Linked DNA regions of Notamacropus eugenii. The main gene of each other region encodes a partner of the protein of the gene in region 3 in a complex. Links are inferred from orthologs where the notes say so. Each region holds a gene or a part of one and is shown on either strand. Other genes may lie near its edges. The genes, in order: FRS2, NTF4 and NTRK2.

Region 1 (3,745 bases), on a different chromosome or scaffold from region 3:
CACACACACACAAAAAGCCCACAAAAAACCTCCCCAAAAACTACATACAACTTATGTTCCTTCCTTAAAGACATCAACAGTAATCTTCTGTTCCAGATTCATAACAGAAATAAATTTAGTTTCTTTCTCCACTTCATAAACAAGAACTCAATGCTGTTGTGACTTCCATCTTTTTATATAACTTGTGATTTTTTAACTTTTCTTCCATTAACTCAACTGGGCTTTGCATTTTCCTTCTTTAACACTATATACACATTTACTGCAAATGGTTGGTTTTTTAAAATGTCATCTGTCTTTAAGCTGTTGACTTTTCACAGTATTCTTTGAAATATATTGAAATTAGTGAGAAAATAGACTATAATGTATTTGCTAAGCTTTAAAGATTAAATGCAAACATGATATTTAAGATCTGCAGTGCAATACGATCTCCAAGGCACTGAAAACTAGTGTCTTGCTTCCAAAATGAAAAAAAAAATCAATACAAAACTTACTGGCTCTCTAAAATTATACCAAAAGCAGTTTCCACCTATAATCTGCCTGTCAGAGAAGTTTCTAGTAAATGCACTTATATAAAGTTTCAAAAGCAGAGCATCACCTCAAAATGAAATTTACCATGAAAAATATGATCACATCTATTCAATTCGTGTTAACCTCTGTTTTTGCACACCTTATAACAGTTTTATGAAAAGTCACACAAGTCCATATATAACAGGCCCAAATAGAAAGCATACAAAGATAAAGGCGAACACATAACTTCTAAGTTCTCTATAATGTTGACCTAAATTTCAGTAAGTGTATCAACCACAGATTAAGCTCAACACTTTTTTGTTTCTCTTTTTTCCACCTCAGATGATTCTTCTTAATGCTTCATTATTTTTTTAAAACATCACTTTCACTTTCCAGGAACACCTCACCCCATGGGCTCCCTCCCTCCCCACTTCAAACAAAGCAGTGCGGTTAAGGAATACACACCAACCCACTATACTGACAAAAATCTGACAATGCAGTTAGACCTCATTCCACATAGGCGAGAGGAATGTTTTTGCATTGATCAGTGTTCTGCTGATCACTGAATATTCTTGGGCAGCCACAGGAATTCAGAGATTAGAGGAGAAACTCGACAACAAAGTGCAGGCGCCTACCTAAACTACTCATTTTCGCAAGAAAAAGAAATCTGTTTTTTAAGTGTAGTGAGTAAAACTCCTGAAAGGAGCTGTTTAAATTTAACGCAACCCGAACCAAACTCTGAAGACAGTCCAGGACAGCTGGAAGCGCAACATCTCCTTTAAGGCCTTCGAGGGATCCGAACCCCAAAACACAAAACTTCTTGATTTGCAGAAGTTTCCCGGTCCCCTCGGGCTACACATCGCCTCAAAGATGGGGGATCAGGGAAGCAGCCACATCCACCTTCCATTCGGGGATTACGAATGGGAAAGGAGACTGAGCAAGGTGGCGGTGATCAAGGAGAAAAAGGGGGTTCTGCTTGTCCCCCGAAACTACTCCGACTCTACACTGCCCGTATCTCGTTTGTACACAGTTGTTTGCAGGTTGTCTGCCCAATTAGACGGGGAGATCCCCGGGGGCGGGGCCTGTTTTTTGCCTTTCTTTGTATCCCCCAAGTTTAGCACCGTCCCCAGCGGGCCACCGGCATTTATTAAGCGCCTACTAAGTACGAGGCACGGGGCTAAGAGCTAAGGATACAACGAAGAGGAAAAAACAAACAAAGCCTGGTGCCTGCTTGGAATAACTGCTGATTTGCCTAGGGGGAAGCCAAACTCCCACGAGACGTAGCCCCGGGATCCCCGCTTCAGCCCAGGCGCCCCGCCCCCCCGGGCCCAGGTCGGAGCTCCCCCGGTGGGAGCTCTCTGCCCCGAGCTTTCCTGCGGGGTCCAGCCTGGGGGAGACCCCAAGACGAGGCCGCCGCCGCCGGAGAGCTGGGGAGGCAGGGCCCCTGCATCCCCCAACCTGGGCACGGCGTCGCTTCCCCCCAACCCCCCGCCCTGGCCCTGCCACTTACTTTGCTCCATGAGCGCCGGGACAGCGGGGCGCGGCTCAGGGGACGCCGAGCCCTCGGGCTCCTTCCCCGGCTAGAGGAGGCGGCTGTACCCCCCGCGATGGAGCCGCAGCGGCGGCGGCGGCTACAAGGCCTCACTCTGGCCCAAAGCTCAGCTGAAGTGCTTCCGGTTGAGGGGGTGGGGAGTAGGGAAGGAGTCTGGCACCGGAACTTCTTGGGGAAGAGTGGGCGGGGATTTGGAAAAATGGGCGGGACCCCATGGGGGCGGGACCTCGGTTGGGAAGGACCGGCACCTGACGTCAGGGAAGGGGCGGGGCCAGAGCCGAGCCCGCGGGGGTTAGGTGGGGGCACCCTGGAGCGGCCTGTTGGGCGTCTCTCGGGATCCCCGGCCCAGGCCCTGGGGAGGCGTGCGTGGAGTGTCCCGGCTTCGCTGCGGCCTGGACCTCGAGACTGCTGTACCAGCGGGGACCTGCCCGCACCTGGGGCTTCGCATCCGCAGTTAGAGCTGGAAGGAGCCTTGCAGGGAGATCACAGAGTCCAGGGGTCCTTAACCGGCAGACCGGGACTTGGAAAAATTTTTGATACAATTTAATAATACCCCTAAATCAAGTTCCATTGATTATCCATACTTATTTGTATTGACAGTTGTTACTGATTTACAATGAGTCATCAAGTTTGGCTTATTAAATCCACTGATAATAAATCGATATTTTTCAGATGAACAATTATTGGTATTAAAGTACCCGGATGACCATTAGTTGTGACTTATATTGTTTACTTTGATCCATATTAATAATTATTAATGTTTATTTGTGTATCAGTTTACACCAGTGGTCATTAATAGGCATTTTTGTTAATTATTTACATTGATTTCTATTAATAATCATTAATGGTGATTTATATAATAAACATAATAAATTTATATAATACACAATGGTGATTTATGTATATTAATTAATGTATGTTGGTCATTATTAATCGCAGTTATATCAATTTGCATAGGTGGTCATTAATGTTAATTTCTACCAACCCTTATTAATATTAATATATGCATATTTATTAGTATGAGCAGTTGTTTATATTAATACACATTGATGGCCATTAGTAAATAATTTATGCTATAAATTGCTTACATTGATTTATATTCATCAGTAATGTTGATTTATATAATCATTTTAAATATTACTTTATATTGATCATCCTTAAAGTTAGCAATTCTTGATATTAATTTACATTGGTAGTCATTAATAGTAATTTATATTAATAATTATTTACATTGATTGTTGATCATTGTTGATTAATGTAATCAATATTAATCTATATGGATCATTATTAACATTATCATTAATTTACAGTGACTGTCATTAATGCTAGTTTATATGAAATTGTTAATATTAATCTACACTGATAAGCATTTTATTGTTTATTATTTTTATTTTATTAAATCTTATTATTTATTAAATAATAATATATCATTATGGTATTGATTTTATTGTTTAATACAATGTGATTTATTCTGTGATCCTATTTTTTTTATATAGCTTTAAAAATATTCTGAGAAGGGCCCCATAGGTTTCACCAGACTGCAAAAGGGATCCATGACACACAAAAAAGGGTTAAGAACCCCTCATCTAGTCCAACCCTTTCATTTTACAAATGAGGATACTGAGGCCCAGAGAAGTCAAAGGATTTTACCAAGACTACACAGATAGTGCCAGAAAACTTGGATTC
Region 2 (3,745 bases), on a different chromosome or scaffold from region 3:
TCTCTTTCCCTTTCAAGGCTTCAGTCTTCCCCTGTGTGAAATGTGTCAGGTTGGACCCGGCGATCTCTAATTTGAATGGAGATGAAGTTCTCGGCTATGAGCTTCCATGAACCCCGGTCAGCCAGGGGAGCTCCTCGGAGCCCAGGGAGTGGGGAGGCATTTGCCCAAGGTCATACAGCGAATTAGGAATTAGGCCCGCCCGCCAGCCGTGGCCCGGCTGAGCAGGGTGCACACACAGGCTGTGTCAATGCGGATCCACCTCCAGCCCACTCGGCCCTGCCCGTCTGCAGTAAGCGCCCGAACGTAAGACTGCTTGGCTTTGCATTCCGATACCCAGTGTCTTCGGTCCACACCACGACAGCCTGCCCCGCCTCCCGGGCCCCCAGCCGCTTTGCATCGGGTCTCAAAAAAGTACTGGCGCAGGGGACCTCCCCCTGCTGCGGGCACCTCCCCCAGGACCTCCACCTCCCGGCCCCGAAGGTCCACAGCCGTGCGGCGGTCGGTCACCCAGCCGCTGACGGCGTCGCACACAGCCAGCTCACCCCGACGGCCAGCCTCCGCTCCCGCCCCAGCCTCCCGTCTGCTCCGGTTGGCTGGGGCTGCTGCCAGGGAGGCCTCCAGGAGAAAGAGGAGTGGGGGCCCTGAGGGAGCCCCCCGAGACAGGGCCACCCGTGGGGACAGCAGGTCCCACTCAGGTCCTGGGAAGGGGGGCAATGGTGGTAGCTCCTGTGGGGCCACGCCGGGTAGGACCCAAAGAAGAAAGAGGAAGAGCCAGATGTGGAGCGGGCTGGATGGGAGAAACATCTCTGTGGCCACCTGGTAAAGAGAGGGGCGCTGGTCAGTGGGGCAGCCCTGGAGCCAGAGGGGAAGGCTCGAGATCCAGAGATGTCAGGGCGGGGCAAATCCTTGGCCCAATCAAGACCTCCAGACGCCCCCAGCTGCAAGAGGAAGACGTAGGACTCTGATCGCTAAGCCCCCTTTCATCTCTAATTCGGAGCACAGAGGGAAAAGGGAAGGAAGACCAGCAGGGGAGGGTCTCGGGCTTACCAGACTTCTCAGGGCCACCTCCTCCTGAGCCCTGGGCTGGGGGCTCCTGGGCTCTGAGGGTCCCTTGTCAGGGTCTCTCGGGGCCCCCTCCTCCCGGCCATCCCAGGAGAGGGACAGGGGGGCGACCACCTAGGAGAAAAAAGAAGGGAAACTTGGAAGCAAATGTTCCCCGTGTCCCCCTGAAGGACCCAGGCATCCCCTCCCCCAGACCAGGGCCCTCTGCGCAGGCCCCTTCCCAGGTGACGGGAACCTGGCCGGGATGGGAAGCAGATGTCGGGGAGGGGAGGCGGCTGATGGATGAGGCTCAAGGACTGGAAAAGATTATATCCCTCACGGCCCATCCATCTCCCAGACAGCGGAGGGGGCTGGGGGACAGGAAACCTGGGTCCCCAAGGAGCGCAGGCTGGGGGGATGGGGACACCAAGATCCCTGAGGGGGCGGTACTGGTGGGGGGCACCACGGACAAGGAACTCTAGGGCCCTTGGGGGCAGGGACGCCTAGATCACAAGGGGGAGGGGATTGGGGGTTGGACGCCTGGACCCCAAGGGGGCGGGAGCTGGACTCCTGGGTCCCCGAGGCGTCTCCTAGGAATGTTCCCTCAGAATTGGGACAGGCCAGGACCCGCCCAGGACTTCAGTTGCACATACCTGGAGCTGCCGCCCGGGCGGAGGCGGGCAAGGAGTCGGGGTGGGGGGACGGAGGGAGGGAGGGAGGGAGAGAGAGGGTGGGAGCGATTTCTAGTCCTCCCTGGGAGACCCAGGAGTCCGGACTCAGCCCCCGCCCCCTGGCGACCCAGGAGGCCCGGCCCAGCTAACGGGGAAAAGGGATAGAGAAACAAAACGGATCCCGGTTCGAGCCTTCTAGTACGCCTGAGTAACTCCCTCGAACTGCTCAGAGATTGAGCTGGGCCCTGCCTGCCTCCTGCCTCAGTTTCCCCGCCGGGTCTTGTCCCCAAGCTCCTGCAGGGCCCGCCCCCTTGTACCCAGGGCGGGCCCGAACTCCTGGATCCCACCCCATTCCCTCCTTCCCGACATTCGGCCCGGACCTTACTTGGGACACCCGCCTGCGCTTGGGGCTCTGGCAGCCGCTGCTCCCTGGCGCCGGGCTCCGCGCGCGGCGCGGCCCGCTCAGGGACAGGGGGGTGGGCGCTAGGCTAACCCCGCCCATCTGGGGGGAGTGACCAGCAGTCCCGCCCACGTCGTCCACCTTGGCTGCTCCGAGACCCGGACCGCCGAGGAATCTGGCCTCAGCCTCCCCTCCCCCTGCGCCGCCTCCACCCGACACTCCGACCCCCCCTCCACCTTCCTAGACCCAGGCGTCCTGGCCCCAGCTTCCTTCTCTCCTGTGCCAGAGAAGTGTCAGTCGGGGCAGCGCACCCCCCCCCCCCAATCCTATTCCAGGCCTTTCCCAGAGGGAGACACAAACCAGGCGCCCCGGGAAAGATAAGGTCCCAGACAGAGACAGAAGTGGGGAGACAGGAGCCCCATTTCCCTGGCCAGGCCCCAGGCTCAGTCTCAACCTTCCCGGGGGCGCCCCAAGCTCTGGAGGGAAGGAAGAGAGTGAGAGGGGGAGGGAGGGCAACAGAGAAGGCTTGAGTGGGCCGGACAGAATGGCAAGGCAGGCAGAGACAGAAACAGATCAACGCAGAGACGTAGAAATTCAATTCAACCAGCATTTATTAAGGGCCAGCTTTTGGAGCCAGGCTCTGGGGATGTGGTGGTGTGTTCCTGACCTCAAGGGGCTTGAAGTCCTGGGTGAGGGGGGGAGATATGTCATATACACAGATGAGAGATGAAGGCATAGACACACACAGAGATGAGGAAGATTCACAACAGAGAGACAGAGAGAAGGAGGTACAGACAGACACCAAGAGACCCAGAAGGCTGGGGACTCCTCTCCTCCCTTCCCCCCTCTGGCTATTTTTAGGTGACAGACATTGGACACCCTGGCCTGGGGGCCATCCCAGCCCTAAATTTAGGCTCAGTGCAGGCAACTGGGTGTCCCCAGGTTGTGGTTCTCCCACGCCCCCCCCCCCAGACTGGGTCCCCCTTCCTTTTCTCAGCCAAGGGCAACACCAGTGGAGGGGAGGCTAAGGCTGTTTATTTGGAGAACTGGGTACATCCCAGCCCTACTCTACCCCCACTAGAGTTCTTGCTCCAGGGCAATGCCTCCATGACTTCCACCCTGCCCACCCCCCCGAACTCCAACCATAGTTTGACTGCTCTGTCCTAGTACCAGAAGGGAATTTGTGAAAGCATCTTTGCCTGTTTCTCCCTCTCTCCTCTCTCCTTCTCTCTCTCTCTCTCTCTCTCTCCCTCTCCCTCTCTCCTCCTTCTGCCTTTGGGTCTTTCCTGTCTTTATCTCCTCTCTATTTCCCCCTGTTGCTCCTGGTTAGGCCCAGTATCACTTAGGGATATTGTCAATACCCAGATGTATGATTCACTTGGATGGAGGGCTGGAAAGTTCTCTCCATGTCATACTTCCTCAAGGCCTGTGGCTCAGAGTAGCTGAGGAGGGGGCAAAGGAGGCCGGAAGAGAAAGACTGAGGGAGACAAGGGAGTGCCTCAGCTTGGGACCATACAACCTAAAAGACCCAAACACAGTTCAACCCACCAATCAACCTAGCACCATGCAGAAAAGCTATACAAACCCCAATAAAATCATACACAGACCCTTGGCAGCTCATGCAGTAGGGCTA
Region 3 (3,745 bases):
CTCATTTGTAGATGCTAAAATAGTTATTCTTTAAAATAATGTTATTTATTTTTGAGGTTTTACTCACATTTTGTTGCCTGGTATTTCTGTCATCACAACACCAACACAAAGTCAAATGTGAGATTTAGCACCATGCTAAAAAAAGGGAGACTTTTTTTCCAAAATGATTTTACATTTACTACAGTGACGTTCAATAACATATTCAGTGAAATGTCACTCAATTCATAATGAGACCTTGTATCCACTAAGAGATAAAAATGAAAAATTGCCCAGTGAAAAGAAAAACCAGGTAACATGGTATAAGTTTTGAAGGTCAGACAGACTCCTTCAGGACTGTTTTGTGTGTTTTTTTTTTTTTTACTTTCAAAGACTAATATATTTCAAATGATTCCGTATTGTACTTTACAAAGAAGCCTTATTAACTGTTATACAGATGAAGAAAGTAAGGCAGCAAGGGGTTAACTGATCGAGGCAAGGTCATACAAAATCAGGAAGCAGATCAAAGAATTGAACTCTCTCAATTTTCAAAACTTCCAGGCCTCAGACCTGACCAATAGAACTGAAAGCATTCCTTCCCTAAGTCTTTATTCCTGTGCTGTCCTTACTATCCCACCCCCCACTTCCCTGCATTTCAAAGGCTTTTACAAATCCAAACGGAAATAAATCATAGAAAGCAATCAGTAAAACGCTTCTGTGGAATGATAATAGCCATAATAGCTTTGTTTAAAAGAGACTTTAATATTAAAAAAAACTATTGTGGATAAAAGAAAGTTTTAGATATTAACTCATTTCAGGAGCTTCTATACCAATGAAAATCAAGCTTATAGAATATTGGTCAGCTTTCTTGTCTCTCTCCTTTTTTTCAATTAAGAGCTGAAAAATATTAACTAAAGGTCAAGATCCTTCAAGATGTCTTCTTTTCCCCTTGGACACTCCAGAATCAAGAAAAAAAAATATATTTTCAAATTGCATATACTTTTTGTCCTCTTTTTGAGGAGGAAATAGTCACATTTAACTCTATTTTGGTAAAGGCACATGTACCTTGAATGTTATACTAACACCAAGAAACTCCACAGCATCTGCAATAGGATAGCTAGCCTACTTAGCCTTCCTTTCCAGCTATGTTTCGTCCACTATACCTGTCAAAGAAATGGAGATCTTATAGTATTAAGTAACCTTTCCCATTTGGCCCTCATTAACAGAATACTTCAACTAAATTAGGCCTGAAAATTCTCTTTCTTTATGATGGAGCTTAAGAATAAAGGTGCCTTGGAATATGTGAATAAGCAGCAGCCAACCTAGGAAAAATAATTTAGGAGAACTCCATACTGATATTCAAAGACTATTTCTCCCCATCACATAAAATATTCATATATATTACCAGCCAGAAGGCCTCTGCCCAAACCCTACTTGCAAGAGATCTAAAAATTTTAGTCTAAAAATCAAAAAATAGGTAAGGGGTAAAGATCCTATTACAGATTCCAGAAGGAGTCTAACAGAGGTGATCAAGGACTGGGTAGTAGAAGAGACTGATCAGGTACAGCTTAGCAGTGATTTCTGACAGGACAACATGGAATGGGATGCGGGGATAGATAATCTGGCTTCCCAACAGAATCCGAAAAACTAGAAAATTTCTAGTGTTACTGTTCTTATAGCAACACTCATCTGTGCACTAACACAGTTTTATCATCCAACTTATTCCCAGGAAATTGTTCAATGGGCAATTAAGATTTATAATCTAAATGGTCTCAAAATTATATCTCTGGGAAGTCAAGTCTAAATTAAATCAAACCAGGCTTTTAGGCTTCCAACTATCACATTTTCCCTTTTGAGCAAGTGCATTTCAATACATAGAACTTCTCCTCTTACAGATCATTTTCAAAATTGTCCCTAGGCACAATCTCCCAGGCAAAATTTGATCTATGGAAATGAAATATGAAAACTGGTTAACTCCAAAACTCAAAGAAGGGATACTAACCTCCTACAACAGATTTCAAAAAGTTAATTCTTTTTTTCCAGGGGTCTCCACTGCTCTAACTTCTTTTTTGCCTAATACACATGCTAGCTTATTAAGAGCTAATAGAACAATCTGAAAAAGTAATGCAAATCCAAGCATAGACACCTATTGTATATGAAATGAATGTACAGGTCCTTGAAGAGGAAAATATATATTACATGGCATAGAGATATAGATTTTTTAAAAAGCCTTTTAAAGGGAAAACATTGCTCTCCTGATATATCCTTGATTAAAGAAATGGATAAGTTATTGATAGATGGATCTAATAATCAGTTGTTTCAGATGCAGGTTTGGGATGCAGTTCACCAATAGAGGGTTACCTGTCAGGTCACAGTTTGGGGGTAGGGTGATGGATAATGCAGGGAAGGTGTATTTTGGCTAAGGAAGGAACAGAAAGTAGCAAATACTTACATTTCCGTGATGTTCTCCGGGTCCGGGCTGTTTGGTTCCAGCCTTGGAAAGGCCACGATACCAGGAGAAGGATTGCTGCACCAGATCCGAGTAGTACTGCATGTGCAGGACGTGGGGCAAGCCTGGGAGCCCCTCCAGAACATCAGAACCAACCAGCAGAAACCCAAGAGCCGCGCCATGCCCGGTCCATGACCCTTCTTCCAGGACAACATCCCTAGCCACTGAAGCCAGCCAGAGCTCAAATGTTTTCTACCCCCCCAACACACCCCCCACCCCGCCCCCCCGCCCCCCCTCTCCAAGCGCCTCCTGCTGCCCCCGACCGGCCTGTTCCCACGGGGTCGTTCTTAATTTTCCTCCCGGCACTCCGTGCGTCTGTCGGGTCCCGGTGTGCACTGCTCAAAGCTGCGGGAGCAGCTGGGGCATCTTGAGCCACTTCACAGGGGGGCACTACTGGAGATGCTGGCGCTGTTGCATATCCACGCGCCTTCTGTGGGTGGGGACTCAGTTGCCCCCCGGGGGCTCACGCCTGTGCCAAATCCGGGATGAAGACAGCGGGACTGAGTCTTGAGCAGAAGGAGGATATGAGGTGGAAGATATGGCCGCAGCACCTTGAGGCTGTGAGGCAAACAGATACACGGATGAGGTGGAGAAGGAGACCAACGCTGCTTGTGACGGACATGCTCCCTCCCACAACTCCATCCAACCCACAGTGCCACCCCTAGGGGTGGGTCGTGGCCCCGACCCCTGGGGGAAAGGAGATCCGATGCCACTCGCAGTGGGGATGCTCCAGTACCGCCCCCCCTCCCCGCTGCGGGCCGTGGGGTGGCCACTGAATCCCCAGCAGCCCTCAGACCCAGGTACATTGAAGAACATGGGACACCCCTCAGCGACTTCATGCCGGGCTAGAGAGGACGCGGTTCTGGGGCAGAGCGGAGCTCCGGCCTCGGAAGGCGGCGGCAGCGGCTTCGAGACGGATCTCCCCCAGATGATGCTGCAAAATCCGCAGCGGCCGCGGTGCCAGCTCAGGGAGCGGGGAGCCAGGGCAGCGGAGCCCCACGCAGCGCAGCCCCGGCGGCCCGGGCAGGTGGCTGCGCCAAGCAGTCCTACCTGGGGGAGCCGCCGGGGCTGCTCCCTCTCCGCTGCCCCCCTGCTGTCACCCTTTGGGCAGGCAAGGAGCCGAGCTAGGGGCAGCGGCCCCAGGAGCGCCAGCTAGCTCCTCACCCAGACAGACGGAGTCCGGCGGCAGCGGCGGCGGCGCCTCTCGCCCGGCTCGGTGCTCCCCGCGGGAGGTTCTGTCCTCCTCCTCGCACAGCCGAG

The links.
Region 1: the proteins of NTRK2 (region 3) and FRS2 are in contact, whole or in part, in an NMR structure (PDB 2MFQ), measured with the Homo sapiens proteins. The link is inferred for Notamacropus eugenii from reciprocal best matches to the Homo sapiens genes NTRK2 and FRS2. Residues at the interface, in NP_001018074.1 of Homo sapiens: Pro498, Asp499, Val501, Ile503, Gly504, Met505, Thr506, Lys507, Ile508, Pro509, Val510, Ile511, Glu512, Asn513, Pro514, Gln515, Tyr516, Gly518, Ile519; in NP_001036020.1 of Homo sapiens: Val26, Asp27, Asp28, Asp29, Gly30, Tyr59, Leu60, Cys61, Leu62, Arg63, Arg64, Tyr65, Gly66, Tyr67, Asp68, Ser69, Asn70, Leu71, Phe72, Ser73, Gly77, Arg78, Ile86, Ala88, Lys90, Phe98, Gln102, Met105, Gln106, Ser109.
Region 2: the proteins of NTRK2 (region 3) and NTF4 are in contact, whole or in part, in a crystal structure (PDB 1HCF), measured with the Homo sapiens proteins. The link is inferred for Notamacropus eugenii from reciprocal best matches to the Homo sapiens genes NTRK2 and NTF4. Residues at the interface, in NP_001018074.1 of Homo sapiens: Phe291, Glu293, Thr296, Ser297, Asp298, His299, Cys302, Pro304, Thr306, His335, Val336, His343, Gly344, Cys345, Asn350, Thr352, His353, Met379, Gly380, Trp381, Pro382, Gly383; in NP_001382418.1 of Homo sapiens: Gly81, Val82, Ser83, Glu84, Thr85, Ala86, Ser89, Arg90, Arg91, Gly92, Glu93, Leu94, Ala95, Asp98, Ala99, Ser101, Gly102, Trp103, Thr105, Tyr135, Phe137.

Annotation. Positions count from the first base shown.
Region 1 is NC_092874.1:246,987,010-246,990,754, reverse strand, and holds the start of FRS2 (fibroblast growth factor receptor substrate 2), read right to left. Parts: upstream 2,154-3,745; 5' UTR 2,018-2,153; intron 1-2,017. UniProt on the Homo sapiens protein: Adapter protein that links activated FGR and NGF receptors to downstream signaling pathways.
Region 2 is NC_092876.1:12,362,369-12,366,113, forward strand, and holds NTF4 (neurotrophin-4), read right to left. Parts: upstream 2,263-3,745; 5' UTR 2,215-2,262; coding exon 2,098-2,214; intron 1,177-2,097; coding exon 1,048-1,176; intron 817-1,047; coding exon 190-816; 3' UTR 62-189; downstream 1-61. UniProt on the Homo sapiens protein: Target-derived survival factor for peripheral sensory sympathetic neurons. May promote ameloblast differentiation and subsequent reduction in proliferation of ameloblasts.
Region 3 is NC_092872.1:75,596,020-75,599,764, reverse strand, and holds the start of NTRK2 (BDNF/NT-3 growth factors receptor), read right to left. Parts: upstream 2,682-3,745; 5' UTR 2,641-2,681; coding exon 2,429-2,640; intron 1-2,428. UniProt on the Homo sapiens protein: Receptor tyrosine kinase involved in the development and the maturation of the central and the peripheral nervous systems through regulation of neuron survival, proliferation, migration, differentiation, and synapse formation and plasticity.